Linked DNA regions of Lepisosteus oculatus. Each later gene encodes a partner of the first gene's protein in a complex. Links are inferred from orthologs where the notes say so. Each region holds a gene or a part of one and is shown in the gene's direction. Other genes may lie near its edges.

Region 1 (8,117 bases):
AAATCCCTTTGTCTTTGGGGCCATAGATTTCTGAGATACTGTGATTAAGCCTTTTAATCGCGAGGTGCTTTTCTTCTTGTTTTGAGCAAAGGGCATTCCCGTAGCATTCCCCCAGTCGTGTATTCAAAGATGTCTGTGAGGCGGTGTTGCCTACTTGAACCCCGCTTTTTGAAGCGTTAATGCTACGTTATTCCGAAATTAAGTCCCAGCGGCGGACTTTTAAGTCACATGGGTGCATGGTATGGCCAGTTTAGTTTCTTTTGTGGTGTTATACAATCTGCGCCACGATGACACTCCTAACCGCTACACAGCTCTAGAGGACGCCGCCGCTGTGCTCGATCGCAAGCTGCGTCAGAGGAGTCTGGATTTAGCAGGAGCCCTCTCACACGACGGTGCGATTAACGGCTGGGCGCCCGTTTCTCCCCTTGCAGACGATTTCCACCTGTGTGACGGCTCCTCCTCGTCCGCCTCCTCTTCCTCCTCCTCCTCCGCCTCCTCCTCCTCCTCGTCCTCCGCCGCCTCCAGCCGCATGCGCTGCGTCATCTGCCACCGCGGCTTCAACTCCCGCAGCAACCTGCGGTCGCACATGCGGATCCACACGCTGGACAAGCCCTTCGTCTGCCGCTTCTGCAACCGGCGCTTCAGCCAGTCCTCCACGCTGCGCAACCACGTCCGGCTCCACACGGGCGAGCGCCCCTACAAGTGCCACGTGTGCCAGAGCGCCTACTCGCAGCTGGCCGGGCTCCGGGCGCACCAGAAGAGCGCCCGGCACCGGCCCTCCGGCACCGGGGCCGTGGTCTCGCTGCAGGCCCACTCGCCCCCGCCGCCGCAGATGCCCCCCGTGCCTCACCCGGTGTCCCTGGCGCACCACATCCCCACCATGGTCCTGTGATGGCGGGGAGCCTGGGGACCCAGAGAAACAGGTCGCGAACCCCGGCGACACGCGGAGGCTTCGCTTTCTCCCGGCCTCCGCGTCGCCCTGGCCCCGCGTCTCGGTCGCACATGACCACGTTTTAACCTTGTGCGCATTGGCAGAAAGGGAAAGTAAACGCAAGCTCACCCGAAGGCCGGGCAGTGCTACGCGGCGGATGTGAACGCGGACAAGAGGCAGCTCCGAGAGACTCACGGACCGGCACGTTATTTCAGCGATGAGACCTCTCGCCGCCACCTGTAATCGTTGACTAGACGCGAGGAGTTCGGTTTCGCGCTGCCGCAAGCTTTGCGCATCAGCTTAAAGCGGACTTTTGAAAAACAGTAGTCGATTTAAGCACCGGTACAATTAATGGCAGGGGGGTGCGCTGTGCCTGAATTTTTTTCTCCCATGCTTTAGAAAGTGACAGCTGTGCTAAATACAGTATGTATGAAGGATTAGATGTTAGCTAAATTGCTCTCCTCTCTTTTGGAAACACAATGGAACCTGTCTATATGTCTTAACAAGAAAACTTTTTATAAAAACAACTGTCAGTCAAATTATGGATTGCAGTAGGTATGTCAAAGACATACTGTTTCTTAGAATACCTTGGGTATAAATGGGAAAATTGGTGGTATACTTCTTGTATACAAAATGTGCTACATTGTGTGAGAAAACAATGCTGTTTTGTTTAATGCATCCGGTTCTCTAGATCTTGTTCAGAATATGTTACTGTTTTAAAACAACACACACATTATAAGAACTTCTTCTATACCATAATGGTTACTGAAAAGATGAGAAATGACACACAGTGTTCGGCGAGCTGATGTGGTTTAAGTTTGTATTCAAACTGTTCTGATGGATGTTATCGTTCTCCGATGGCTCTCAGCTGCGATGCTCCTTTGCTTTTGTGTGGCTTGGTGCGCCCCTAGTGTCTCCACACCTGTATGAAACCCTTCCTGTACGGGAGAAAAAGAATCGTAAGAAACAGAAGATGTATATAAAATGATTAAAATATATATGAAATGTAAATATAATTTTAAAACTGTGCTATACTTCCACTAAATAGTCACTTTATGTATGTACATATTTATGTAAAACAGTATTTACAACACTTTGGTATTATATATTAATAGTATATGTATGCAGATGTAAATAACTTTGTACTTTTCATCTTGCATTCTAAATAAACTACTACATGCATAATTTTGTGTTCATGAAACACCCATGATTATTTCAATCTTTTTTTTTTAACATTCAGGTAAGTATTATTACTGTAACTCTTCAAAACCACCAATATGCACTCATTGCAGAACTCCTCTAAACATTTTCAGTGTTGGCTTATTGAAGCGCTAAGAGAAGATTATGAGCCAGGAAAGTAAGAAGATATGAAAGATGACAAAAGAAGCTGAGAGATTTGGCTCATCTGGTTCGTTTGGTTTCCAGTAGCTAATTATTGGAGGATCTCCTTCGGTTGTTTCTGAAAAGAACCCAGGGAGTTTGATATACCTGGGTAGCTTGTTCCATGCTTCTGCAACTGTTTGTGTATAGAGATGCCTCCTGTTCTCAGTCCCAATTGCACTTTCCTGTTGATTCCACTTGTGCCCTCTGTCTTATATTTCTTATGTTTATGTTTCAATCTGAACATGTCAGGTGTAGTCTTCACTTTTCAAGACTAAAAGGGTCCAGATCCTTCAGCCTGTCAGTGTAGTCATTTTAAGCTTGGTCCATGACAGGGCACACACACACACACGGAGAAAACCCATGCACACACGGGGAGAACATACAAGCTCCCCACAGACATCTCTCCAGGAACTCAACCCAAGTCTTCACTGCTGCAAGGCTGCAATGCTAATACTGACCCACCATGCCCTCCTAATCTTGATCCTGGTATTTGGATATTTTTCTCTGGATTGATTGCCAAACAGTAAAAACCTTTTCTCTCAGTGTTGTGATCGAAATCGAACACCGTAATCTAAACGTGGTCTTAGCAGTGCATTGTACCACTATATTTGATATGTGGTATATCGCCCTTTGCTTTTATATTGTCTTCTCATATTGCGTAGAGACCTGTGAAAATGTTATTCTTTTCTTGTCAAGGTCAACACAAACACAAGTCTCAAGGAATTCATTGAAGTGTCGATTAAAACTTAAAAACGGTTTCAAAACTCTTTCAAACTATCACAGAAAGACATCAGAAACCCAGATTATCCTGAAATTAGGATCACACCTTCTCCTTCTCTCACCGACAGACTCGTTTCCTTCCAGTCCTCTCTATTCATTTGCAGGCTTTGACTTCACACCTCTCTCGACTTTGCCCATCTTGGGCAGTGATACTGCTTCTCTCCTGCTCTTGCCTCCTGTCCACTCCCAGCTTCATCTCCTGCTGGCTTTCCTCTGTCCACCACACTAGAGGAAGGCACCACAGCCGAAACTTCACAGCATTGACTAAACCTTTACTTGTTCCTTTGCAGCCTACACATGCTGACGCCGCTGCCTATTTAAGACTTTAGATAATAATAATAATAATTAATAATAATAATAATACTTCTACTACTACTAATAATAATTGCTTACACTTATATACTTATAATAATAATCAGAATTGCTCAGACATGTAGGCCGACACCTTAGTATTTGGTATCATGTGAGTTTCACACAGTAAGCAAAATGTAACGTCCCATATAAAACAAAGAATATCATTCCTGGTAAATGAAACAGATACAATTATTATTCCAAAAAAATGTCCTTCCAAACTCACTTACGTTTCCCTAAGTGTCCACTAGAGGAGGCAGTAAATTCGCGATACTTTTTGTATTAATGGAATTGCTGGGATCTGTTATAATAATAATTAGTTATATTTATATAGCGCTGTTCTGGACACTCCACTCAAAAGCACTTTACAGGTAATGGGGATCCCCTCCACCCCCACCAGTGTGCAGCCCCACCTGGATGATGCACCAGTACGCTCCCCACACACCAGCTCTCAGTGGGGAGGAGAGCAGAGTGATGGAGCCAGTTCAGAGATGGGGATTATTAGGAGACCGTGACTGGTAAAGGCCAGGGGGAAATTTGGGGCCAGGACGCCGGGGTTACACCCCTATTCTTTTCGAGAAACGCCCTGGGATTTCTAATGACCACAGAGAGTCAGGACCTCGGTTTTTCGTTTCATCCGAAGGACCGCGCCTTTCTACAGTATAGTGTCCCCGTCACTATACTGGGGCATTAGGACCCACATGGACAGCGGGGTGAGCGCCCCCTGGTGGCCCCACTAACACCTCTTCCAGCAGCAATCCTAGTTTTTCCCGAGGAGGTGTTCTATCCAGGTACTGACCAGGCTCACCTGCTGAGCTTCAGTGGGGCTGCCCGTTGTGAGCTGCAGGCGAGAATTATTTTTTATTGTTATTATTTTTCCCTGACTTGTTGTTTTCTATACAGTGATCTATATAGATATAACTCACGTTATTAAATAAATATCTTGAATCAGTGAACAAGAAGATTCAGTTTTCAAGTTTATAATTCAGAAGTGATTTACTCAATTTCGCTGTTTTATTCTAACATCGACGTGTATTTGTAGATTTCTTTATTCACTCGAGTACGTAAAAAACTTACATAATACGTCCAGGTGATTAATTCATTAAAAGTTTATTGTGATGTAGTGCTGCACTGCATTTCGGTGCCCGGAGAGCGATGACGTCAACAATAAGCGCCGTGACGTGATCGAACAGAGCCGCGACCGTGTGCACACAGAGGAATTGAAGATGGCTGTTGATATCAGACTACCTAGTGGACGTAAACGGGTGACAGATTCTTTATCTGCAATCGAAGAAAAACATCTTGTAGCTCCAGGAGATGTCATTACTACAGACACTGGTTTCATGAGGTATTTGAAGGTTTTGTAATATTTTCCAGACTGTTCGCAGAGGCCTTTGTGAAGTTGATGTCTACGTACACGTGTATTCTCTGCAAAATAACAGGAATAAAGTTTGTTGTGTTAATTTTCGCCGAAATGTATGCAGATCTGTTTGAGTTAGTTTCTGCCTTGACCATACCTTTCAGCTGAATGAAAGCTGAGCAGTTAGGGTTGACATTACCTTTCTTTAATGTTGTCAGTGGGTTTAAGAGCATTTTAAGTAGCGCTGGCAGATTGACTGTTTTTTGGTTTTGAAAAACGGTCACCTAGGGTGGAGGAGATAAAAAACAGATGAAACCCTTAAACCTCATGTAAAGATTGGATTAACGAGCGGAGAAAACGCTATCTGGTTTAATGTAGAGGATTTCTCGCTTGTTGTTGTACACTCGTCCGGCAGATGTCGCTGATAAAACAACGGTGGAACGTTTCGAGTGTGCCGTTTAGTGTGGACTACGGTAGCTCAGTGAGATTAGAGATTGGGGTTTTATGTGCTGTTTCACATTGACTAGTTGTGCTCGGGATCCTTTACCTCCCTTAACTTCATCCTGAAATGTGGGAAGAGCTGTCGTGCGGTCCTGACGCAGCGTCGTTCACCAACAACACGGATCACAAGACGTTCCTCGGTGTAGGCGTTTGAAAGCAACCGTAGTATTGGTAAAATATTTTACATGTTCTCTCTCTTGGTGCTCCAGTCTCCTCCCACAGTTCAAAGACATGCTGGTAGGTGAGTTGGTGTCTAGTACGACTGTCCCTGGTGTGAGTGGGCATATGTTTGTGTCTGTGTGCCCTGTGAAGATCTGGTGTCCTGTCCTGGGTGTACCCTGCCTCTGCACTTCCGCATCCCTGAACTGGATGAAACAGATGGAAAAAAGGATTGATCTCTGAGTCTGCGCTCTGTCTCCCTGCAGGGGACATGGCACCTACATGGACGAAGAGAAGCTGACCGCCTCGGTGGCTGGAGAGGTGGAGAGGGTCAACAAGCTGATCTGTGTGAGACCCCTCAAGACGAGGTGAGCCCCGCCGGAGCGCCACGCCCGCGGTTTCTTAGGAGGGCGTGCTGCCGTCTTCGTGCCTTAGCTCTGGCGCGTGTCGGCGAGTTCGTGTCCGCAGACGACTCAAGACGTGGCCGCGGACATCTCCTTGGTGACCGTGAGCTTCACCTCCCTCCCCGGCTGGGGGCTGCGTGATGAAACGAGTGTTTTTCCAATCTGTGGTGGGGGCAGGGTCCAGATAAAGGGCGGCCTGGAACCCACCTGGTGCGTTCGCCAGCTCTTCTAGGCTCTAGGCAGAAACCCTTCCCTGTGTGCGTCTCGTCTTTGTGCCCAGGTTCAACGGCGAAGTCGGGGACGTGGTCGTCGGCCGGGTCACTGAGGTACGTGGCGGCGAGAGAAGGTGGGGTGTGCTGTGGTGAGCGGTGCTGGTGCACAGGAGCGCACAAGTGTGCACGGGTCCGTTTCACTCGCAGATCTTCCGCCGAATCGGTGGTCAACAAGCCGTCGGTGAGTAAGTTAATCTCGTGTCGAACGGACGCTTTATTGCAAAAAAAAGCCCGACGGGATAAAGGACAGGATGGTAGTGTGCCGAACAGGGCGATGCCCGCCATTTGCTTTGATCACCACTGCAGTTGTAGAAGGAATACCTTCCATAGCACGCCGGGGAGCCATTCAAATGAATACTGCGCCTTTCTTTTGCAGCTTCTGCTGTCCATAGTCTCTTCCTTATTTGCTCTTCTGGGTCTCATTTCTAAAGGCCATTTGGTAGGTTTTAGTTCAGGGCTGCAAGAAAGCTGTAATGTATTTTCATCACTCCTCTTTTTAAATCGCCATTATGTGATGCATCATCATGCATTCCGTCAGTACTGGGAGTCTAGTGCTGTCATGGTGCCCCTGGCTTTTACAGAAACCCATGTGCACAGACCTAACGATGGACTCCCATACCACCACACTGCAGCCTCCATGCTGAATAGTCAAAGTTATGAAGCACCTTAGACAGTCATCACTCGCAGATTTCTCCCATCGGAAGCAGGCGGCATGCAGTGGGACTCATTCTAAAAAACAGGCCCATCTGAATCACTGCCGTGCTTTCTGTGCGTTCCCATGCAAGACTGTAGCCTCGTGTGCGGATTCCTTGTCGCAGCAGCAGTTCTGTATGGACTTTAGGCATTCTCGCAACTTAATTTCAGCAGCTGGCCGTAACGGGAGCGCAGTGACTTTCCACTCACTCTCTTCGGAGCAGTGCAGGAAGACCTATTCAGAGGCCTTTTGCAGTAGTGTGCCTTGTATTGGCATTTAGAGTTGATTTTGTTCTTAAAGCGACTCGGCTAGTTAATCCCAGAAGTCTCGGAGGTTCCTGGGGTGACCTAGGGGCTGGGGTGTTCTGGGCGGAGATCAGCCCCACGGGGAGTAACGTCCGCCTGCCGGTCTCTGCAGGTTCAGCAGAAGCGGTGGAAGGTGGAGACGAACTCCCGGCTGGACTCCGTGCTGCTGCTGTCTTCAGTGAACCTCCCCGGGGGAGAGCTGGTAAGGCCAGGCGGCTGCCCCCAGCAGGAAGAGCGCCGGGGACTTGGCATGTCTCTGTCGCTGTGCAGGACTTGCCAGGAGATTGTTTTGTGGGAAAAAATACAATTTCCCTGGGAGTTTTACTATGCTACGGGCAGACAACAGAGATCGGTGTTGAATCCAAAAAGATGGGACACCAAGAGACCCAAGAGAGGTGTGGATGTACATGGCCTGCAGTTTTAATCTGCAGACCCACAGACCGAGCAGCAGATTTAAGTGGAAACCGGTGCAGCTCGGTGTGATCACACAGCAAGCAGAGGTAACGGGCTTGTATGGGTTACTGCTAAACCCTGGGCGAAGTACAACCTGCCCTACCCCTGTAGTGCTTGCATCACATTGTGCTGAGCTGACTGGGAATGATTGTCGCCGATGTCTGTTCATATACTCTGGAAATCTGCCACAAATGTACACAGGCTGCACTCTTCTGCAGCTGAGCTATTCAGGGGCACTGTAAAATATGAAATTAGCCTCCATGTGTGAAGGGAATGAGGCCTAACTGTTGGGTGTTTTTCAGAGAAGGAGATCGGCAGAAGATGAGCTGACCATGAGAGACTACCTGCAAGAAGGAGACCTGATCAGTGTATCCTTTCTTCTTCGGGAAATATAAGTAGCGCTGCAGGTGGGATGAAGTGATCGAGCCCGGCTTTGCCATCTGGTTGTGAGTGGAGAGGATCAGTACTCCCAGGCACGCGGTTACACTGTGTCCGCAGAGCAACGTGACCGATCAGCTCCTTGA
Region 2 (8,100 bases), on another chromosome or scaffold:
CCTGAAGTCCACAATTACCTCAAAGGTTTTGGGTGTGTTATAATCAGGTTATATGCATGAAGACATAAGATTAATAGTGCATATAAAATAAAAACAACATTTTTTCATATTTGTTCATTAGTAAGACAAGTCTTCTTCTGGTCAATTTGTAAAAACTATGTATGGACATGTCAACCTTGCTCTTTGGTCATTTGTAACCACCGCAACAATGATGCCTGGATCCAATGTGTGATAAATGTTTAATATAGTGTGTTAATATAGTGTGATATAGGCCACACTGCCTTTCTAAGCACGCATTGTATGTGTAACACTTTTAAAGAATGTGTAAAATAAAGACTAGGTGTGAAATCAGCTGATACACTGTGTTAGCCATATTTATATATGTTTCATGTTCTTGTATCTCCAGGCTGACCAAGGCGGACATCTTAATCGCCAAGGATGGGACATGCTGAGGAATGGTCAGTGTCCTTTCACCTCGAGGAGAAAAACCCTTGTATGTGTCTTGATATTAATACTAATAAAACCCGATTTCTGCATCCTTCCTTTGTGTTTGTGGTGAACTTGGAGGGGTGGGAAGGTGTTGCTTATGAATAGATTTTAAACAATTCGGACTTAAAAATGATCAGCCTCAGAGAATCTACTTGATCCTCTAGTATCTTTTGACCCACATGTGAAAAATTTGATTAAGACATCTTTCTTTCACCTTAGAAACATTTCCCGCATTAGGCAATTTTTATCAATGTCCAATGCTGAGTGCCTGATTCATGCATTCATAACATCAAGGCTTTATTCCTGCAACTCGTTACTATATGGGCTCTCTAACCCTCTTCTTAACAAGTTGCAATGCAGTATGTTAAAAACTTGGCAGCTAGGCTACTAACTCACACCAGGCTCTGGCAGCATACTGTATCACTCCTACACTTAAGTCTTTGCATTGGTTGCCTATACAGTTCCGTATTCAATACAAGATCTTGTTGTTGATTTTGTAGGCTCTAAACAATCTGTCTCCATCGTACCTCTCTGAAATCCTCCATGTTTTCACTCCCCCCCTGTAGACTCCATTCAGTTGAGGCCTGACATTTACTCACTGTCACCAGGACTAAATCACAGACTTTTGGTGACCGTGCCCTATCTGCAGCTACTCCAATGTTGTGGAATGGCCTTCCCCAGACTTTTGCGAGAGACAACATCTTTTAACTCTCTTCAAATCTAAACTTATAACTTACCTTTACTATTAGGTCTATGTCTGATTGCCTACAGTCAGTTTGTAAAAACCTGTGTGCTTTTGTTTTTTTTTCATTTACTTTTATTGTACTTTTCTTGTCTTTTTCTTTATTCATGATGTGCAGCATCCTTTGGATTGGAAAGGCACTTTATAAATAAAAGTTATTATTATCAGTCAATGGTAATAAAAGCCAGGTCTAAATGCACACGAAAAAGGTGATTAATCGATGACTCAAAACTGAAAATCTTTTGGAGTTATAATTGTTGTCTTCAAACCATTAAGCGAAAATGTAAATAAGCATAGAAATCCATTACAATGTGATTTCGTAGCGGCCAAAAAATGTATAGTACCAGTCACTGTGCTACGGAGGAGCTCAGCCAAAACATCTAATGGCAAGACATCGTGAATGTAAATAGAAGATCTTGGATACAGTAGCTTTATAAAAGACTGTCTAATCTGGTAGATATGATCTTTCTAAAATGAAGCGTTTTAGTTTTAAAAGAGTCTCAGGGAAAGACAGTATTAAATAATGCAGCCTTGCAGTCACAAAGAAACTAAACTTTGACCTGCTCTGAACTCATATTTACTTAATACTAAACCTTTTTTAAAATGTACTGTATGTATACCTAATGTAAATTTACAATCATACTTTTTTCTGTTTACTCTTAAATTGCCCAACTCCAATATTACTTCATCGCTGTAACCACTCTTATAAACAGAAAGGAATGAAGCCTCAGGTTTCTGCAGATAAGGGAGTTGTTACATTTACTGCCCTGAATTATCTAGCCAACCTTTTCACACTTTGTTGCTCTCAAACTCCTCTCTTTACCTCCCTGGAACCTGGATCGCTCTGTGATTCAGCTTCAAAGAGGAAAACCTAGCACTGCTATGCTCCAAGACTCTTTTTCGCATTTTTGAAGAAAGTTTCCATTCTGCCTAAAAATCTCTTTGCATTCAACGACCTTTACTGTTGTTTGACTGGATTTTCTCAACAGCTGGAACCTGTTCATTGAGGAAAGCTTAAATGTAGCTACTGTAGGTGTCGAATTCTTTGTGGTCATAGGCCTGTCAGCATCAATAGATCTCATAAACCCATAAGAATAATTACGGATTAGTGAAGGCCATTCAGCCTCTTTAGTAGGGATGGAGTCTTGTGTTGCCCAGGAATCAAACCCAGGCCAATTGACAATTCAGCTTGTCTACACCCAGTTATGAACTGAGGACCTTTTCTGTGTTAGGTGAACATATCCACTACATTATACTCAGCTAAATTATTTAATTCCTTTATTGTCCCATCTGGCATGTTTACACTGCGGGCAGGTACAAGACATAACACAGAACATAGCTTTTTACTAAAGGCCCATGGAGGGCACACCAAGTACTGAACCTTGATCTGTATTGTGGTTTAAGAACGAATGTGGAAAATTTAAAATCATCTTTAGATTTAGAAGTGTAGTGTGTGTGAATTTGATCTTATAGTATAAGGTTTGAGATTAGACACATTTAACTTATATACAAATATGGAGAGAATTGTATTAAGAAGTATTTAAAAGCACAAGCAGAATCCCAAATAATATGTCATTCAATACATATTAGTTGACTTTCAGTTTTAAGCAGTGGATTCAATTGCATGCTATACTCCTTGTTTAACGATAAATCTGAGTGTTCTTATGGTTATAATGATTGTGTTTACATTAGGTACAAATTAGTAACTACATTGTATCTAAACCAAAAGTCGAAAGCGCATGCGTGCACCGTCTGCAGCGTTGAACATTGTCATGAACTCTAAACCCAAAGTTTCAACTGCGCTTCTGTGCGCTGTCATTGCACAATGTATTAGGTTGTTCATACATTCAAAGTATCTTTGGCATATAGTACCTACGAGAACAATTATCGTGTTATGACGAGAAGGTACATTATTAGTACATAGTAAATTATCTCGTAATTACGAGACAACACATGGGATATACCTTTTCCTTGATAACAGGAACGCGCTTTCGTACTGCAGTGCTGTTTTTTGTTTGATACAACAGACGTCGCTGCAGGTCAGGTTTGAATAATCTCAGCCCTCTGGCGCAGATTTCTGAAGTTCTGCGCAGATTTCTGCAGTTCTGCATAGACCTGCTCAGCTCAGCTTTACTCTCTCCTGTGGCTGTATGATGTCAGGCAGCCTGTCCTGGCCGCAGCCAACGAGAAATTGCGGCTGGGAACCAACAGAAAGAGACACTGAGGGTATGAGAGATCTAGCTGTCAGATTCCAAGTGTGCTACACAACTTTTTGGTCCTAACATCAATAACAGCTTGAATCGACTCCAGCAAAAACAAAGAAATAAATAGTTATTCTATGGACGTTGTCATTTATTTTCTAACGCGAACCCGTGTATTCCCATAGAATTCTCACAGGCTTTATTACCAACAGCTATGTCACCCTGCAATTTACAACTCACAACTGGCAACCCACTGAAGCTCAACAGGTTTGAGCCTGGCCAGTAGCTGGTTGGGAGACCTCCTGGGAAAGGTACGGTTACTGCTAGAAGAGCTGTTACTAGTGACACCAGTAGAAGGTGCTCACCCTGAGGTCTGTGAAGGTCCTAACGCCCCCATATAGTGACGGGGGCGCCATACTGTAAGAAATGTGCCGTCCTTGGGATGAGGCGTAAAACCGAGGTCCTGGCTCCCCGTTCTCATTAAAAATCCTAGGGCGTTTCTAGAAAATAGTACAGGTGTTATTTTAACCTGACTAAAGCCCCCCCCGCTTTACCAATCTTTGCTTCCTAATACTCCCCATTTATGAAATAATTGGTGTGTGGTGAGCGTACTGGTGCACTACTGCTGCCGTCGCATCATCCAGGTGGGGCTGCACATTGGTGATGGAGGGGAGTCCCTATTACCTACCTGTATAGGTCTAGTAAAGTACCAAATTAGTGTAATTATCATTATATTTATTATTATTAATATTATTATTATGTATAAGAACAGTTAGTGAGATTCACGGAGTAAGGCAAGTAAGCGTGTGACAACACCAGAATGCGAACAATAGCAATTGTCCCCCGTTTTTTAATTAAAAATTAAAAATGAGTTAACCAACGCATCCGTGGTGTAAAACAGAAATGCTTTACCAGAATGAAAATGAGGAAGAAACCAGAGGACTCCAAATAAACAAGTGGTAAGGCCCTGATATGAATTGTATTTTTTCAAAACTATTCGTTTCACGTGTTCCTTTTTCTTTGACTTGTAGGGAACTTTTCTAATTCCGCAGCACAACAGCTAACTGATGCGTGACGTCACTTAACCAGAGCCGCAGTCGCTGCGCGGAGATCTCAACCGCTTCTTCCGGCAGGGCGCTCTGCGTGCAACACTGTTTCCCCTCCGCCGGAAACGCGTGTTACTGTTGAGATAAAAACACAGAAGCAATGCTGGACAGCTTTAAAGAAAGAGTTGGCGAGGTTTTACTACCTGGCGATGTTTTTTCGTTTGAATCACCAGGTTCCGAAAGTAATATACAAGATAAAGTTATTTGTGGACCCGGGCTGCGCCGTAATGGAGATGAAATCCTTGTTTGCAAAAGTGGCATTTTGCGTCACAAGGAGCCGAATCTGTACTGGATAGATTCCCAGCAAAAACGGGTAAAGAGTGGATATCCATCACAGCAGTTTTTCTGAGCGTAAAATATAATGTTTGGTATAACGTATGAACAACAGAAGTTCACTTGTTTAATTATTTTTAAGTTATTTAAAGAAGTTAATCTATATGAAAATGCTTGCAATCGCCCACGTGGTTGATGTCATTCATGTAGACATTTACACAAGAACAAGAACACATCTCGTTTCTGAGACCAGTATTCACCTGCATATATTGTCAACCTGTTTCTGTCTGCAGTGCGCTTCTTCTGCATAGTCACAAACTACTAATAGCAAAGTTCGATTTACTATTACCTAAAACACGTAGTACATCAGACGGGTCTCTGTTAGGTCTTTTAGATTTGTTTAATCATGCTGATATAATTTAATATTTTACCATATAAGAATGTTATTTGTATATGCTGCTTTAACTAAAGATGATTGCCTGAGGTGTAAAATGCTCTCACAGTACTACTGTGGGCTTTTAACGAGAATGTTTACAGCTGACCTATCTGGTTTAAGATTAAAGATAACCAAATGTGCTAGATGGGGCGAATGGTATTTTTAACCTTTCTTATTTTGAAATATTTCTTCTTGAGTTCAAGACTAGATGTGCTTTGGTTCTTCAGTATCTAGCAGACTGTTACCTCCCCTCCAGGCGGCCTCCTGTCAGCTGATTTCTGGTTTGCTGTGTTTCCACTCTTATTCCACACTCTGGCAAATACGGGGCCCTCTGTTGCTGCACCCCAATACTCCATAACCATCTCAGAATAACCAGGGACTCAGCCACACTGGGTGCTTTTAAATCTATCCTTATTTTCTTCAGTTATTTGGTTGTGATTGAGTTTTTTTCTGATTCTGCCGTGTAATGCTCATTAATTTTACTGTGACACGTGCTTTTTATATTTTACAAGTGCCTTGAGAATATTGCTCTTAAAGGTACTATTTAAAAGGAAAATGACAAATGTTCCCCTGATTTATGAGGGATACAGCTGCATTCAACAGGAGACCAGACATCCATGAGACATCTTCGGACTGATTTGCCCATAAACAGCAGGCTTTGCCCAGGCAAAACAAGTCTGGTGTATTTTACAGATCTGGCATTGTGAGAAATACCTTTTTTATATTTCAGTACGTCCCGGCGAAGGGGGAGTGTGTCATTGGTATTGTGACAGCAAAGTCCGGCGACGTTTTCAAGGTCGACGTTGGCGGAAGTGAACAAGCTTCTCTGTCCTACCTGGCTTTTGAAGGGGCAACGAAACGAAACAGGCCGAATGTTCAGGTACGTGCTCTGTAGTACGAGTACAGGGGCTGTGTGGTAGACTGGACGTTTCTGGGGAGGGGGCAGACTGTGAGGTTACCATATGTAGATGCACTTAGTGATCAAATTGTTCTGTCCGCCGGAGTGCGGGAGTACTACCGCTACCAAGTTAGCTACTGCGTTAAAATGGTTAAAAAGCTACAGTGCACAGGCTTTAAAATCAAAGAAAAAAGACCCAGAGTAATTTGGTTTTAAACTTAAATTACATTTTATGCTAAAAATGTTCCTACAAAAAAATAAATCATACTGACAGGCTTCTCATGGCAGCTAATCTTTATCTGTGTATTACAAAGAAACTGTTTTATGTAGACCATAAAAGCCATGCAGCGTCATATAAATAAATTGCTTGGTTCCGACATTTAACTGGCAGCGTTTGTCTCCTGCAGTACAATGACAGAGACATAACTGCAGAATTTTGTCAGTGCTACTTAAGCAAAGTTGTAGCTCGTTTCTGTGATTAGGCTATAACTCTTCAAACGGGTTTCAGGAAGTTTTTAGTCATTAGTTTTTCTCAAATATAATAGGTTGTCTAGTAATAGGAAACAAAAGTACAATGTTTGAAGCCATTAGAACAAAAATGTGTTGTGGGTGTTCCGAGTCCCAGATGGGAATCTGAGTAGGCGCTGCAGTGTGGGTGAGGTGGGTGCGGGCTCAGAAAGCAGCCGTCACACCATACCTTTTGGGAGCAGCTGGACTACTCCCTACACCACCAGTTCTTCTATCGTGACCAGCTCTTGGGCTGTGTAATTCCAGGTTCTTGTCTACTATAGAAGAAGGAAGAAGGAGTAGAATGTCCATGTCTCGCTGTGTCTTATTTCAACCCTAAAGGCAATTTAAAACCCCCAAATCTGTTTTTGTGGATATGCCATTATATATTACCATCACGAGCTACAGTTATCTTAGGTCACACCTTCTGTAGTAGGGGTTCCCAACTTCATTTCAGCTTTGCTCTATTACATAATTAGACCCCTGACTTCAATCTTTTGGTTTCAATTCCTAAGCACGTTGGAGGTTGCCTTTCAACTGCTGTGTTTCGCAAGTAGCATAAGATCTCCAGCTTCCGAGTCGAAAAAGAGAACTTTCTGTAAAGCACTTTTAAAGGCGCTATGTAAGTTGATTCATTCAGTTGTTTGCAATCTAATGAAGCATCATCCTAGCTGAAGTGAAGATCTCAGTTTGAGTGTAATCCAGCCTGTGCGTGGGACCAAAGATGTTTTCGTTCCGAGTTGTAAAGCTATTCTGGAAATGGAGTAAATTTTATTGAAATAAAAAATGTCAATTGAATATATTCTGTTCATATTAAAGATTTGAGTTGTGGTGCATACAAAAATAAAGCTTGAACAGCAGAACGTTATAATGCTATTGTTCATTTTGAAAGCAGGCATCAACTCGGGGAGAGTTAGATCAAGGGTTCGGTAACAGATGTTTAACTTAGACAATTGAAATGTTTTAGGTATTAATAGAATCTTCCTCAAAATAGGTTTGGTAATACATTTTTTCTGTTTGAGCTAAATGTTCAGTATAAAATAGCTGGAGAAGACTATTAGCTTAATTGCCTTAATTTTACATTTACAGTTCTTACATTATAGAAAAGGATGTTTGCTTTTGGATGCTTTGTGAATCACATTATCTAAATCTGTGTTAGCAATTTTGGATATAGCACTTAACAGTTAAACACCACAGGATATAAGTGGAAGCTGAAGGGAAGTGCATGTGAAAACCAGAACAGGATGTGCTTTTTTACAGGGGGGGTGGTGGGAGTCTGGGACAAGGTACCCAGCCATGTTGTTGAACCTGATATCCTGACGTCTTTCAAGAAATGGCCAGATGAGGTTCCTGGATCATTTATACATACATAAAATAGCCTTGTCTTCTTTGCAAATGTTATGCTTAAAAAAGACATCTAGTAACCATTGTCCTGTTGCAATATCCTG
Region 3 (7,761 bases), on another chromosome or scaffold:
TCCTGCCCTCCAGCTCTTTGAGTGGCACTGCTCCACCAGGTCTTTGTATCTCTAGCAAGAATACTACATTGGCAGCCTGATTCGATTCTTCCTAATCCTCAAAGGCTCTGACAGACTCAGTCCTTTGGATTCTTGAACCAACTGGCTGCTAATTACCAAATGGGATAGATGGCCTTATTTTGTAACCTTTCAATTTGTCATTTTGGATTCTTTTACCACTTACCAACAAACCTTGTCTGAAACACAGAAACAATACAAATACCGACAGCCATCTTTGTGCTGAATCCAGTAAATAACCATATGATCATTTCAGTTTTGAGCCATGGTACTCATGAGGACACCACATTGTTGGTAATCATTAATTCATATGCAGCTGCCAGATGAAGCCCGGAAATTACAGCTATAAAACCAATTTCAATAGTTTTTACATGGTGCTATCAATATTTATGGCTCCCTCTGCAGGGATCTCATGACCATTATTACATATTGTTTTCCCCAAGGATTCAACAGCAAGCAAAACCTTTGTTGTGCAACGGAGGGTACTAATTATGAAAGCCCAATATGTGTTGTACTCAATCTGGAAGTCTCCCATGGGTGAATTAAATTATAACAGTGCTCAAGGTCAAGGTCCTCACTGTGCTACTGTTAACAGAAGAGATGACCTTCCTTAACGCCTGTTTGAACACAATCTTTCAAACTGGGGGGAAATGGAGGCAGCTGGAAAAAAGTGCTAGGTCTGTGCCAAGTGAATGTTTGCAGTCTCTTTTTTAATTATTCAAAGCCTTTGGCACACCATTTAAATGACAAGAATCCTGCTCAGAGGAAACCAAAATAAACTCACTGCTCCTTTTTGCATGTAAAAACAAGTTTACCTTCATAGTGCTGCCTGCTTAGCAGTAGATGATATTTCTCTTTTTTCTTCTTAATAAATGTCTCATAAAGATCCAGGTGTATGAAAATGGATTTCCTTCAAAGGCAAGGAATAGTTGGTAAGACCATCCTCACACTGGGATTAAGGTGCTTGTACAGAAGAAGTAATAACTAAACAGTGTATAAACAAACATCCATTCATTTTCTAATCTGTTTATCCAATTCTGGGTCTTCGGAGAGGTGACTCCTATCCCACCAGGCACAGGGCAGGATACACACTGGTGGGACGCTAGTTTATTGCAGGACACACACAGACACACACACTCACACCAGAGTCAATTTTCCCAGAAGCCTATTAACCCAGTGTGTCTTTGGACTACTGAATGGGAGCACTTGGTGGAAGCCCATGCAAACACAGGCAGAACAGACAAACTCCACACAGACAGCACTCTAGGAATTGAACCCAGAGCCCCAGCAATGCTAACCACTGCAGCACTATGCTGGTCTAAACAAACATGTCCTTCAGATCTTTCCACTCCAGAGCTGAGAAAAACATGTACTTTTTTCAAATGCCATTTAAAAACGTAGTTACCCAAAGTCTGATTAAATGCTTCAGATTGCTTTGCTTGCACCTCACACACAGTGACATTTCTGTATTTCCCATCACACATGGCTGAACCTGCCCAGAAGATTTTCTTCTTCCACACTGAAGCAACTCAGTTTTTTCACTTGATAGTGATCATCACTGGCGATTATGGGACACATACACTGTGTGCCAGGCTTTATAATTCCTCTGACCGCGTATATCAATTACTTTAAATTGGATTTTCCTTAAAATTTAAGCCTAAACATTTTTAATTCAGTTAATTTGAAATGATGACTTTCAGTGAGGTAATGTGGCAGCTATCCTAAAATACTTTGAGTTAAATTAACTACCAAAACTCATAAAGACTGCAGTGGCATGATATTCTTTTCTAATCAAGAGATCACTATGTCAGACAGCACACTACAACTCCTACAATAGGACTGTTTTAATATTAGATATATAGAAACAGATAATGTTTTCTATTGATCAAAGTGAAGTATACAATATTTAAAAAACTGGTCAAAACACTGACAATCCAAGACTCTACTCTGTATTTCATTACATTTTGTCTGACTGATAACACTGGTCTGTAAAGCAGGAGGCTACAGCAAACACCAAATAATAACAATAACAGCATTTTCTTATTACTTTGTGCATTCACATGTATGTAACTGTAAAGCTAAACTGTAAAGTTCATTTCTGAACGGATACATCATCCTTTAAAAAATGATTTGTTTTATTATGTGCTCAATCATTTCTTTCACACAAATGTGAGGCTCCATGGCTGAAACATTGTGTCACACCTGAAGAAGGCTCCATGGCCAAAATGTTGTGTTTCTTTTCTTCTTTTTAGCATGGAATAAACCTTTACTTCCTCCTTTACAGCCCACGCATGCTGACACAGGTACTGTCATACTTGAGTTATGGAGGCAGTCAGAATGCTCTCTATAATGGCTCTGTAAAACTGTATTAGAATTAGTTGAGAGATACCCAAGATTTCAGCTGGTGCAAAAAGTACATTCTCTGCTCTGCTTCTTTCTGATACTGGTGATATTCATGTCCCATTTAAGGGTATTTAGAGTTCATAATTCCCAAAAAGTTCACCACAGACACCCACGTCATTGATTACCAGGAATTACCAGGGAGAGAGGCTTTCGAGAATGTTTCTAGAAATCAACCATTTCTACTCTTTTAAGGGTATTAAGCTCTGGGTACTTGCTACAGCACCATGATACCTACTAATCCAGACCTCCTGTACATAGCCTCATCATCATTAGTGATGAGACCTACAAGGGTGATGTCATCTGCAAACTTATTTAGTTTGACAGAAGAGTCGCTGGAAATGCACTTGCTGGTGTACAACAAATAGAGCAATGGGGAAGGCACACGTCCTTGAGGACCCCCTGTATTCACATACCTACACAGCCCTTGCCTTCTATTCAGGGAGAAAGATGAAGATCCACTGGAAAGGGGAACATTCAACTATTGCAATTTATTGTCATTCTGGAATGATAGTAATAAATGCAGAACTAAAAGCCTCAAAAAGAATGCTTGCATACACACCTGAGAGTTCTAGATGATGCAAAATGTAGTGAAGACCCATGGTAGCAGCATCATCACTGACCTGTGGGCCCTAAATGCAAACTGTAGAGGATCAAGATGTGAATCTGTAACAGTTTTGAGACAGCAAAGTATCATGCGTTTGAAAGTCTTCATTATGACAGACGTAAGAGCAACTGGTCTGTAGTCATTTAGACAAGTTATTTTGTCCTTCTTTAGTACAGGAACATAATGGAGGATTTAGAGCAGTTTGATAATTAGTGGAGCAAATCCAAAAACACGTACCTCAGGTTTGGCTGGTTATTTTAAATTTCCAAGTTTCATGAGCTTTTCAGAAAGTTATCGTGTGTCTCGAAGTTTAAGGACACAAAATGCACTAATATAAGGACAACATAATGATTCAGCCCAAAAACATTTTGACAGGTAGACAAAACGGCTGACACACAGAAGACGGATGACAATTGAAATTATTTTCTGCAGCTGTTTTAATGTCCCTTTCAAACATCTCAGGTACTACCTCACGTTAAATTTTATAAAAGCTCTGGGAAAATTGAACTACGCATTTGGTATTAAGTGTACGGACAACTGTATACGATTACAACTTCCTACTTCTGAATTCTAAAATAATAAATAAAAAATCGAACTGCATTTGTGGTTTAAACAGACGCTGTTTTTTTTAAAACGTTTTAATGGTAGTAGATGAAGAATTTAGTATTTAAAATTCCGTGACTGTGTATCATACGGATCACTGCATTGGCAGCGGAAGACTGCTGGCTATTTGACGCCACACTGTGCTTTAAGCAAACAATGACATTCAGTGAAACCAGACTACATTTACGGAGGGAGGTTACATCTCATAGATGTCAGACAAAACTATTTCTATTAAAATAGGTGACTGAATTTATTCGAGGCCCTCCTTGACTTTGTACTAGCGATCTCCCGCAGCTACCTTTTATTAAAGGCACGTTTTTAACGGAAAATGTGCACGCTGAAATGGCAACGTGACGCCAAGAAAGCAGCTGTCAAATAAGTCAAAGTTGAGAACAGTGGCGTAAAATCAAAGATATATAAGGTACAAAGAAATCTATACAGTATTTAATATAGTATAGTGTCTTACAACCGAAACGCATTTCACATTCACGTGACTTCACATTGACGTCGCATCATGTGTGTCGTCATCCGTCTGCGCCTAGTGCATGTCGTGAGGGGAAACAGAGAGTCCATGTGTAGTAGTTACAGGTTCTGCAGAAATTCAGAATGAGGGAAACGCCGCTGTCCAATTGTGAACGACAGTTCCTCCTGACAGCCATAAAAGAGAAAAAGGTATGATTATAATTTAGAGCTTTAGTTAACTTGAACAAATCTGCCAAGAAGAATGGGCAAGATTGTTGTGCATAGTTAAAGACTTAACCAGAGACGTGTGACAGTAATTTCAGCTAAATGTGTTTTTTAGGAAATATTGAGATCAGGGTTTTGAATACTCACGCAATCAACATATTTCATTTTTTTCTCTTAAGTAACTTACCCTTAGGAGTCTTCACTTTGTGCATTCGATTTCTTAAAAAAGTGCATAGTTTTGTGATTTCCCAAAGTGAGACACCCTAGGACGCGTCGAAATACTTTTAAACAAGTAAGCAGACCATTAAAGTCATCGGTTAGCTCTGGAGATTTAGAGCTCAGCGGGAATGAAACCCGGCAGAGGTACAGGGTTGTGACCTATTGATATTGTTGTTAGTTTTCGAAGGTGTTAGTTACTGGGACATTTCTTAGGCCTGCATTAATATTGAGGTGGTAGTGGTTAAATCTCTGGATTCCTGACAGGTTTGCGTGCCGCGGCAGTACTCTTGAACATGACGATTATATCCAGAGTGCACCAGCAGATCCAGCTGTATAAATAGGTCCCAAAATGTGAATGTAAAAAGAGGTAATCTCTTGTAAATCAGCAAAAAATTATATCTGCAAAAAAACTACATAATCTGAAATATTTGTTAATATCTGAAATTATTTTTGTGCATAATTTATTATTTATATAATTTTGCATTTTGTTGCTTATTAAATACATTAGCTCCTGAGTCAATCTTCAGTATGATGTTCAGTTCATTTCTAAGGCTCTTCAGTAAATATGACACATTCATTTGTAGATAGAAACTAATTTAAAAAACCTCGTCATGTCCACTTTGTAACCATACTGTTCCTTCTAGATTCCTAATTGTGAACATTTTAGATTCATTTGGTGATTTTAAATGTTCTGTTAAAAAATACACTTTCATGCTGTTTTTCTTCTTATTGTTACTCTCTTAATATACCTGACATCTGAATATATCTGATAAAACACTGTAAAATCAAGGGGAAAAAAGAACATGCTTATTGTTACAAGTTTAATTGATAAACAATATATATGGAAATAATCTCTTTGTTTACAACACTACCATTCAATATATAAAGATATGAAACTGAGAAAGGCGTACAAGAATAAAATAATATTTGTTGGCTCTGTAAAACAAAATTGAAAATGATTTTTTATTTAGTCCATTATTCTAGTTTTTGAGATAATGTGAGATGTATTTTAACATGAGCCTGTGTTTAGTTCTAACGGTGTGGTATATATGATCTATATAACTCAATAAAGTTTTGGAACTTTGAAATAAATATCACATTTTTTTTTTTTTTTTGTTTCAGCGCCTAGATGGAAGACAAACGTATGATTACAGAAATATCAAGATCACCTTTGGTACACAGTATGGATGTTGCATTGTTGACCTTGGAAAAACAAGGTAAACGTTTGTCTAATCCACAATTAATGAGAGATTAATTAAGAGTTTTAATGAAAGATAAGAAATCTTGTTGAATGCTTAATTCTCAGCAAGTCAAATTAAATGTGATCTCAGGCACATTGGTGTTTAAATTTGAACATTTATGCCTGCATTGCTCCATTCCCTGCTATCTGCACTTTTTTCACCAATTCTGTGTTAATAATTAATACGAATGTATTTCTGACAGTTTGTCTTCTTTTTTAAGGAGAAGAGAGTAAAGTACATGTATTCATAGTTTGATTTGTGTTTGAATGGATTTTGTAAGTATTGTGTAAATGAACCAGAACATCTCTTTATGATGCTGAGTGTGAAAAGTACAGCAGCAGTTCTCAAACTCTCTTGGAAAACTATTCACCTGAATTGTAAGGATAGCACACATTGTAGGATAGCAGCAGACATTTTATTGCTGTTAAAAGGAGCTGTTTCCATACCTTTGCTACTTCAGTAGCAGTTACAAATGTGAAACTTTAAGTCTTTAGGTGGTTTTATAATGAGAGGAATTTGTTTGTTTCACAGGACAAAGTTTAAAGGGTGAAATTTTGGTTATTTCAGCCAAAGGTCTAGTTCTACATTTACTTTTGTCCTGTAGTTGTTTTTTGTTGATATCATTGCTGAAAAATCTATCTCTCACAGATCAGGTATGTACAATGAAAGTGTAATGTCCCACATCAATTTCCCTACGGGATTCATAAAGTATTATCTATCTAATGTTCTTTGGTATATCTTGTTATCTTGTGATTACCTTGTTAATTTAACACAGCACTTAATTGCTTGTGAAAAATACTTTATCACTTACTTTTTGTGAAGCTCTCCTGTCCAACTGTGATTTTTACCTGTAGTAATCCAGTTAGGAATTTACTGAAGAATTTTTGCATCCTTTTGAGTGAAAAGACAAATTCATAATGAAAGACACTGTATATGGCTAATAAAGTGATCTTATCTTATTTTCAGAGTGTTGGCTCAAGTTTCCTGTGAACTTGTCGCTCCGAAAGAAAATCGCCCAACAGAAGGAATTCTCTTTTTCAACCTGGAGCTATCACAGATGGCTTCCCCTGCTTTTGAACCTAGCAGGTATAATTCCCAGCTACTCTTCAAATATAATTTTAATAAGGAATTAAATTCAGACAAATAACAAAGGATGCCAAATTTAAACAAAACAGTGTGGCTTTTTTAAAGAAAAAAGTTAGGAAACCCATGTTATTTTGAAACTCAGTAAAATAGTGAGTGTCACTGTCTTATCTGTGTGCCTTTCATTTTGGATGTACTCTGTTGTTACTGTATGCTGTATATTATTCTTGTCTTAGACCTACAATACTACACATAATTAATCAACACACATCCCACATATCAAACTAGTTAGAGCTGCAATGCATTAAAAAGAAATGTAATGCACTTTAGTGTGTTATAGTTATATGTACTGATATATTACTGTGGAACTAGAATGTGCTAATTTTGCAGTAGATATTATAATAATAATAATAATAATAATAATAATAATAATAATAATAATAATTGCTTACACTTATAAAGCACTTTTCTGGACACTCCTCTCAAAGTGCTTTAAAGGTAATGGGGACTCCCCTCCACCACCACCAATGTGCAGCCCCACCTGGATGATGCGACGGCAGCCATAGTGCGCCAGAACGCTCACCACACATCAGCTATCAGTGGGGAGGAGAGCAGAGTAATGAAGCCAGTCCATAGATGGGGATTATTAGGAGGCCATGATTGGTAAGGGCCAATGGGAAATTTGGCCAGGAGGCCGTGGTTACACCCCTACTCGAAAAGAAAAGCCCTGGGATTTTTAATGACCACAGAGAGTCAGGACCTCAGTTTTACGTCTAATCCAAAGGGTGGTGTGTTTTTACAGTATCCGTGTCTCTGTCACTATACTGGGGCATTAGGACCCACACAGACCACAGGGTGAGCGCC
Region 4 (8,551 bases), on another chromosome or scaffold:
GATCAGTGCTGTTCAACAAGGCTCAGACTCATTGTGGAGGACTCAATTTTTGAGATTGCGGATTGAAATTATTTGTTAAATCTGATTCAGAAGCCTCCTTTTTTTAATCTTAGTCTTAAATTGGAAAAAAAAGCATAATTTAAAAGTTTTGGCTTACCTAACAATTCTCAATCATATTTATTGACCAGTTTTGCATGTTCGGCAGAAAACGTGTACAAATCCTCTTTGAAAACTATCACTGTGGACGTATGTGTCAATACCTGTGTCATTGTGTATATACTGTATCTGTGTCAGTCAGTCCACACCTCTGCCAATGTATCATTGTCCTTGTTATTCACCCTATACCTGTGTTAGTACCTTTGCGAGTGTGTTGAAACTTATCACAGTGTCAGTAAAAGAGACTCTTTTCTGTACTTGCCCATACCAACCCATGTCGGTACTGATGACATAGGTCAGGACTTGCCTTGCGTCAGTGTGTTGGTGTGTGTACCTGTTGTATCTCAACGTGTTGGTGTAGTTGTGTTGATGTGTCACCTTGTCTCCTTCTCAGTGTGTCAGTGCTTTTGACAGCATCAGTATGCCAGTGTCAGTGTGTGTGCAACAAAGGTTTGTTTTGCAAGTACACAGTGGTGGTATGTCAGTATTTGTGATGATGTGTCAGTGGGCCGGTATCTGTGTCGGGGAGACTGCAATAGTGTCAGTGTATCAGTTACTGTGATAGTGGGTCACTGGGGCAGCACCTATGATGGAGGATCATAGGGTCAGGTCTTTGATTACGGCTCACTGGGTCAGTACCTGTGACGGTGTGCTCTGGTGCTCTTTTGGGCAGCTCGCAGCCCTTTTGTTTCAGCACCACCCTCTCGTCCACCTCGATCACCTCCTCATACAGCATCTCTGCCATCTGTACCTCCTTCAAGACAACAAACAGCATCACATGTAGTCACACTCATCTTCAGGCAACAAGATCCAGATATTGCCATCTCTTTATTGTAGAGATCTTTGGATAAAAATGCCATTCATTTAAATTAGTTATATTAAATTTGAATTAGATCTAGAAACAGCCATGATAAATAACACCTGAATCACTCTAAATTTGGAAGCTGAGGCGATCCAAAGCAATGTCTGCTTTTGAAGTGACAGGTGGTTCACACACAGCATCACCAGAGAAGAAAGTAGACTCAGTGTGGGGCTGACCAGGTCAAACAGCGCAGGTCGGGCCTGGGTCCCAATGTGCAGCAGGTCTCGGAAGCCACGGGTGATCAGGAGGGCAGTCCTCTCGCCCCGCCTCTCCAGCAACGCATTGGTTGCCACTGTCGTCCCCATCCGGATCCAGCCAATCAGAGAAGGATCTAAGGGCTCATCTCGGGGGAATGCCCGCCCAGTCTCCTGGGTTATGGGGAGACAGATACACCAGGTGACCAGCCAAGAAAGCAGACAGACACAATCAAGACACATGCCAGAGGTCATAGAGATTATTAGGACAGAATAGAATTCCCAGTTCCTCACTCCCCCCACCCTCTTTTTCTGACACTATTCCTTCTGCTTCTACCCCTTCATTTATTGACTCCCTCTCCACCATCCAACCATCTCCCGTTCTCCCCTGTCCCTCACCTCCTCCAGAATTCGGCGAATGCCCTCAGTCGGGGCGTCACGGTAATTCTGGGGGTCATGTGAGAGGAGCTTGAGGACTCGCTCCCGGCCTCCGGGCAAGCGGGCATACACGTCCGTGAAGGTGCCACCCCGATCGATTGCAAAGTCAAACTTCTCCAGCACGGCCGCCATGCTGAGGGAGAAGAGGAAAATCGAGGAGAGACGGCAATGAAGGGACCGATTGTATGTAAAATAAGCAAGACAGCTGAGTATACAGATATTGTTGTGGCCAAGGGAAGAAATGTATAAAGTGGTAAAATATTGAGGTAAAAATAATAATAATAATAATAATAATAATAATAATAATAATAATAATAATAATTGCTTACACTTATATAGCGCTTTTCTGGACACTCCACTCAAAGCGCTTTACAGGTAATGGGGACTCCCCTACACCACCACCAATGTGCAGCATCCACCTGGATGATGCGACGGCAGCTATAATGCGCCAGGATGCTCACCACACATCAGCTATGAGTGGGGAGGAGAGCAGAGTAATGAAGCCAATTCATAAAGGGGATTATTAGGAGGCCATGATTGGTAAGGGCCAATGGGAAATTTGGCCAGGACGCCGGGGTTACACCCCTACCCTTTTCGAGAAACGCCCTGGGATTTTTAATGACCACAGAGAGTCAGGACCTCTGTTTTACATCTCATACAAAGGACGGCGCCTGTTTACAGTATAGTGTCCCCATTACTCTACTGGGGCATTAGGACCCACATGGACTACAGAGTGAGCGCCCCCTGCTGGCCTCACTAACACCTCTTCCAAAGTTTTAAAGTTTCCTTCAATTCAGAAAGGTCCTTCACTGATACTAGACAATACTTTGTTATTGGGTGAAGTATTTTTCACAATATGCCCATAAATACTGGTCAACACAGGCAGACCTGGCTGCCTAGAGAGGACAGGCTGTTTTCCCACTGTCAGCAGGACAGAGACAGAGATGCACTTTCTGCTGTAGTGCACGACATACTCTGGTATCAGATAAAGATACCTCCTTAAAATAACAAGTTTAATTTCCATTCCTGCTAGAATCACAACAGTTTCCAATCCAACTGCGGGAGAGGATTAGAAAACAAATATAGAGCTGGAAGCCCAGTAGAAGATCAACTATCACAGACTCAGAAACGAAGATCGAGCTTCCCAAATAATATTTTTTTGTTGTTGTAGATGACTGAACATGCCTTTGAACTTGTTATTGCTTTGGCAATTTCATAATTGGTTGGTCATGCCAATAAAGCTCATTGAAACTGAATTTGAATAATTGCAATGGACTATACTGCCCAGCCACACAGTATAGAAAGATACCCCGGGATCTTAGACACATCAGCCTGGCCCTGTAATGAGATGACCTACAAGTTTAATTCTGTAGCTTTTTACTCCAGGACAGGACAATATTTATTCATTGTTTGAAAGCAACTGTACATTTTTAAGGGTAAAAATTTAGCAACAGAGTATTCTAGCAATACTGTGGAAAAGAAAAAACAAAATTGATGCCTTCTCTTACACAGGGTTTTGAAAGATATGGTATTTGTATTTGTATTTGAATGCTCAAAAAAGGGACAACAAAGAACTTGGTCCCGCAAGTTTAGTTTTTCATAGTGCCCACAGATGCATACTACTGTTACTGCAATAGCCAAATCCACATGAACAGAGATTAGAAGCCCAGTACTTGCTATGGCAAACTGTTCTCAACAGTTATCAGTTAAAGCTTTGTGAAAAAAGGTTAATGTGTAACATTACACTTATAGGTAACTACAAAAGTGTTTTTTAGAGTTTGCACATAGAGTAGATAACATTCCCTTTCTATGTTAGATGACATGGGCATTAACTCAGCCTCATAGCTCTTGGGTCCTGAGTTCCATTCAGGCCTGATGTGCTTTCTCCATGGAGTGTCCATGGTCCTGTGTCTATTCTGGTTTCCTCACACCTTCCAAGCATATACTGGTAGGGTTACCTAGTGTGCCTGTTTGGTTACCTAGTGAGTGTGTGTCCTGTGATGGACTAAGTGATTTTTTTTAGATTACATGCACTGCAGGAATCAGTCAGTAAGTTCTCAGAATACTGTTTTTTCAGTGGTTTTACTGGTTTTTCTTCCAGCTTGTACTTCTGTCTTGAGCCATGTGCTACTAATAACAGCCCTAGATTGCCACAGCTACTATCAGGAATACATGACTTTCTGCATTAGATTAAATGACATTCCTTTTTAAATGTCTCTGTAAGAAGTTCTGCATTTCTTTCACTGCCGAACTGTTGAACCTGTGTTGTATAGTTCTGGATCCTGTATTACTCTACTATGCATGTACACTCTAATGCATAACATATGCAAATCTCCCAGTCTTTCCCAGCAATGTGCCTTGGAACTCCTGACACTTCTCAGACACTGTCCAGAGGGACCCCAGAAACAAATGTAAAAACTTCACCCCAAAAACCAGTAGCTTCATATAACACCCTCAAATATTCTACAGCAGCTGTCCTACTACATATCACATCAGGTGGACCAGGCTATATTAAAGTGTTAAGATAACACCTCAATTATCTTAACATTTGCTCTTAGATCTTTAACACACACAGATGTTTTGTTTATTTCTCACCACAAGGATAGCATACCTTACAGCAGTGTCCCTGGACACCAATGTGAGGCACTGGTTTGGAAATTCTGGTGCACAGTCCCCCCTGCTGGTCCACAACCATTCACAGCAGCAGCCTGGCTTTCCTTGGAGGTCTCCTATCCCAGTACTGACCATGTCTATGCCTTCTAAGCTCTGCGATTTGACAGTTTTGCCAGTTACCCCTGGTCCAAGATTGGACTGCCATTTTTTTTTTACATTGTGTATCTTTCCCGATATCTCAACCGTGAAGAAAAGTAACATTCTTGACTTGTTGCTTAATTTCAAAGTAAATTCTACTACTTTTTTATTTCTAAACAGTATACAATTAAGTTAAAATTAGTGATAAAGAAAGATACATCGTTAACGTTGACAACATCACTGCCAGTTTCCAGTTTATCAGTTTTCTCTGCTTTGCGCCGTACGCAGATTGTACCCAGTCAAGTCAGACTTACATCGAGACAAGCACTGAACACGAAGTATGAGTCTGGCTCCAACACGGTCTGACGTCTCGCAGTCTCGGTGTGATTTTCTGATGAAATCGAGGTTGTTGAACAGTGGAGTGCAGTGAGATCTCCTTTACCTGCTTTGTTGACACCAAACTGTACCTGTCTGCTTTACGTTGACCTCGGGGACTAACTAAGCTCCTTCTTACACCTCCACAAGCTACCTCTCTCTCTCTCTTGCCACAGAAAAGATCTTATCCAGACTGCTCTGGGAGAATGCATGAGACCTGGCCGGCCAGCCAATCAATTCCCGAGCCCCGTTCCTCCTCTCGGCTTTGTTATTAAAACGCTGTATCTGCGCTTTCAAGCTTGCAAGAAACTTTGGGTTCAAAAGACAACGTTATCATGCATGGTGGGTCACTGACACCCCCAGGATGTGAGGAGTTTCGAACGTCTTTAATATCCCCGAGGGGCAAACTGTTTAACGTATTAACCTGATTTGCTTATTTTACTGTAAACATTTTTCTTTGTCGTTCAAAATGCATTTAAAAAGTATTTGCATCTTCTATATGTTGTGTAATATAAGCGTCACAAGCTAAAAGTAAAAATGTTTAATTTTAATGTTTTTAATTGAGAGACTCAAACAAAAACGTGTTTAATGGGACATCACGAAGGGCAAACATGAAATCCCAAAAATGCGGAACATTACTGACAAGGATTTTATAATGAATATGCAATACACTACGTAAGACAAGGAAGATGACGAACAAGATGACAATATATAGAGCGACGGCAAAACAGAAGGATTGTGGGTATAGTAGTTTTTTTTTTATTTGACGGGCTGTATCACTTTCGCACATGAGTTTTGAAACATGGCCGGGTTAGAGTTGCTGTCCGATCAGGGATACCGGCTGGATGGGAGGAAGCCTTCCGAGCTCCGCAAGGTGCAAGCCCGCATGGGGGTCTTCGCGCAAGGCGATGGGTCTGCCTACATCGAGCAGGGGAACACCAAGGCGCTCGCGGTAGTGTACGGACCGCATGAGGTGAGTCTCCTGGCAGGCAGGGAAAGTAGCCGGGCCCGGGGTGTGTGTAGAGTAGGCAGCCTACTGCCTTTCAATGACTGGCATTAATTTCATAGAGGATGATCGTAACGTTCGAAGCTCCTTTGTGAAAGTGATTTATCATTTTTGATTAATCCGATCGACGTTGCCGTTGATGCACAGAGGAAGTTACATGCAACGTCAGGGGTATGCTCGAGACGATTCAATCTGAAAGCTGTACAGTTAGGTTGACCGTATACAGTTTGTTCACATGGACTATTTCAGTAAGAATAAGACCTGCTCTTTGAACGAGATTACGTTCACTTTTTTAGTTACGTAATGCAACCTTCTTAAATTAACCACAGACGAAGTTATTTTAAATATGAATTCGTTAGTTGCTGTTTCAGTTCTGCATATACTATGCATATGCTATCAGTCTATTTTCTAAACACTTTATGCAATACAGTGTTGCAGAATGGCCTGAACCTATCTCGGCAAGCAACAGGAGCAAGGCAAAGTACACCCTGGAATGGATACCAATCCATCCCAGGATGCACACAACACACACACACAGGACCGATTTTTTCTGGACAGTTGGAGGAAACCCACAAGAGGCTGATTGGAGAACATTCAAACTCCACACAGAGATGAATCCAGGAATTGAACCCAGGGCCCCAGTGCTGCAAGGCAGCAATACAACCACTCTGTTACTGTGCTGCCCATGCATATCCTAATATGATCCAGGTAGCTTTTTAGGTTTTATAAATAAGCCATCTACAAAACCTACCTGTAGTGAATTCTCACTTTCATTGATCAGTGGGTTTAACAGCTGATGGGTGTTGTGAGTTATTAACCACCAGTATGTATCTCTGCAACATTTTCATCTTAATTTGCATATGAATTATTTTTAGTTTCAGGCAATTTTAAAAACTTATAGATGGGCTGAGCAGTGGCTCTGTGGCTAAGGACCTGTGCCTGTTGCTGGACGGTTGCTGGTTCAAATCCTGAAGCCCCCAGAGGAATCCTACTCCATTGGGCCCCTGAGCAAGGCCCTTAACCCAGCTGCTCCAGGGGGGCTGTACAATGGCTCACCCTGCGCTCTGACCCCAAGCTTCTCTCCCTGTCTGTTTGTCTGTGTCTCATGGAGAGCAAGCTGGGGTATGCAAAAAGACGAATTCCTAATGCAAGAAACTGTACAGGGCTAATTAAGTGATGTTTTGTTACACTGTCTGAAAGTATGCTTGGGAATACAGTTATATGGAAACTGTACAGTATAAACATGTATAAGTGATCTCTGTGAGCAGCTGGAACTCTAGGTAATTTATTATCTTGTCGAGGGTAAGGTCATATTATCCAGTAGGCACAGCAGGTACTCTACCTAGGGCACAGGAAAACTAAAAAGCCTGTGAAAAATGTTTTGACCATTTTTCTATATCTATGATAACAACTATAACAAAGATCCCTCCTTGAATATATATATATAGAAATTATAGGCTATCTGAAAAAGCATTGGAGATGATGCTGAGAAACATCTGTGAAACTGAGCTATAGGGCCTGACTGAGGTTAAATACACACAGACAGTGGCACAGCAGTCTGTGCTTCTGCACAAATGGCACCTCAAGTCACCATTGCCTGTGAAGCAATGAACAAGAACCACATCGTGATGGAATTTAAGTTCTTTGATAAATTGCCTTGTTGCTGAGCACTTGAACGTAGAACAGTGAAACAGCTGTGTGGGTACTCACATGGAAGTATGCCACTGTATACGTAGAACATCCAGACCTTCTGCAGACAAGACTGACCAGTCCATTAGGAAAAATATCACAGGGGTTTCACTAGTGGTGGCTGTGTGAAATGATCTGCAATTGAATGTAACATTAGCACTTTGCAAGCAAGGTTTAAAATGCAGTACAAAGACATTAGAGACGTCTGGTTATGCTTTTGGCAGAGGCAGGAAAGGGAGCGGACAGTACAGAGCAATACAGTGCACAGGAGGTAGTGGGAGATCTGCAGATCAGGTATCCTGTAGTGTCGTCTGATCTGCAGAAATGTTAGCCTTCCAGATTCCGAACAGTGAAGAGCTTAGCAGGTGTCCCTGGGTCTCTCATAGCTTGTGCAGTGCCACTGAGGTAATGATACAGTATTAGGCTGACCTCATAAAATATGAATGATTCTTTCGCCTTTTAAACTTCAGAGTTACATTAAAATAAGCCACTGTTTATTTATTTCTGTGTTTTGTGCTGTTCTCTGCTCCAGTGCTTGTTATAGTACTCAAGGTCTGCTGTACGGTGCTCTGGCGATTAGTTATGAAAAGTTATCAGTTATGAATTGCCAGCAGCCATATCACCCCGCAATTCACAACTGGCAACCAACTGAAGCTAAGCAGGTGTCAGCCTGGTCTGTACCTGGATGGGAGACCTCCTGGAAAAAACGGAAGGTCGTTGCTGGAAGAGGTATTAAGGTATTAGAGGGGCCAGTAGGAGGTGCTCACTTTGCGGTGTGTGTGGGTCCTAATGCCCCAGTATAGTGATGGGGACACTACTGTGGGGAAAAAAGGCACTATCCTTCGGATGAGGCATAAAACAAAGGTCCTGACTCTCTGTGGTTGTTAAAAATCCTAGGGTGTTTTTAGAAAAGAATAGGGGTTCCCCAGCATCCTGGCCAAGTTTCCTATTGGCCTTTAGCAGTCATGGCCTCCTAATAATCCCCATTTATGAATTGGCTTTGTCACTGTTCTGGCGCACTATGGCTGCTGTCACATCATCCAGGTGGATGCTGCACATTGGTGGTGATGGAGGGGTGTC

The links.
Region 2: exosc2 (region 1) and exosc3 share a complex: the UniProt entries of both Homo sapiens proteins name them as parts of the RNA exosome core complex. The link is inferred for Lepisosteus oculatus from reciprocal best matches to the Homo sapiens genes EXOSC2 and EXOSC3.
Region 3: exosc2 (region 1) and exosc9 share a complex: the UniProt entries of both Homo sapiens proteins name them as parts of the RNA exosome core complex. The link is inferred for Lepisosteus oculatus from reciprocal best matches to the Homo sapiens genes EXOSC2 and EXOSC9.
Region 4: exosc2 (region 1) and exosc4 share a complex: the UniProt entries of both Homo sapiens proteins name them as parts of the RNA exosome core complex. The link is inferred for Lepisosteus oculatus from reciprocal best matches to the Homo sapiens genes EXOSC2 and EXOSC4.

Annotation. Positions count from the first base shown.
Region 1 is NC_090719.1:14,545,626-14,553,742, forward strand, and holds the start of exosc2 (exosome complex component RRP4), read left to right. Parts: upstream 1-4,627; 5' UTR 4,628-4,671; coding exon 4,672-4,793; intron 4,794-5,731; coding exon 5,732-5,833; intron 5,834-6,149; coding exon 6,150-6,195; intron 6,196-7,252; coding exon 7,253-7,342; intron 7,343-7,895; coding exon 7,896-7,961; intron 7,962-8,117. Other genes in the region: prdm12b (PR domain zinc finger protein 12b), read left to right, coding at 312-892. UniProt on the Homo sapiens protein: Non-catalytic component of the RNA exosome complex which has 3'->5' exoribonuclease activity and participates in a multitude of cellular RNA processing and degradation events.
Region 2 is NC_090696.1:33,368,519-33,376,618, reverse strand, and holds the start of exosc3 (exosome complex component RRP40), read left to right. Parts: upstream 1-4,613; 5' UTR 4,614-4,638; coding exon 4,639-4,851; intron 4,852-5,977; coding exon 5,978-6,127; intron 6,128-8,100. Other genes in the region: probable pancreatic secretory proteinase inhibitor, read left to right, coding at 407-452; myosin heavy chain, clone 203-like, read right to left, coding at 4,546-4,613. UniProt on the Homo sapiens protein: Non-catalytic component of the RNA exosome complex which has 3'->5' exoribonuclease activity and participates in a multitude of cellular RNA processing and degradation events.
Region 3 is NC_090696.1:10,752,682-10,760,442, reverse strand, and holds the start of exosc9 (exosome complex component RRP45), read left to right. Parts: upstream 1-4,199; 5' UTR 4,200-4,273; coding exon 4,274-4,339; intron 4,340-5,695; coding exon 5,696-5,790; intron 5,791-6,780; coding exon 6,781-6,900; intron 6,901-7,761. UniProt on the Homo sapiens protein: Non-catalytic component of the RNA exosome complex which has 3'->5' exoribonuclease activity and participates in a multitude of cellular RNA processing and degradation events.
Region 4 is NC_090701.1:28,949,908-28,958,458, forward strand, and holds the start of exosc4 (exosome complex component RRP41), read left to right. Parts: upstream 1-5,394; 5' UTR 5,395-5,578; coding exon 5,579-5,749; intron 5,750-8,551. Other genes in the region: oplah (5-oxoprolinase), read right to left, coding at 796-910, 1,195-1,386, 1,612-1,782. UniProt on the Homo sapiens protein: Non-catalytic component of the RNA exosome complex which has 3'->5' exoribonuclease activity and participates in a multitude of cellular RNA processing and degradation events.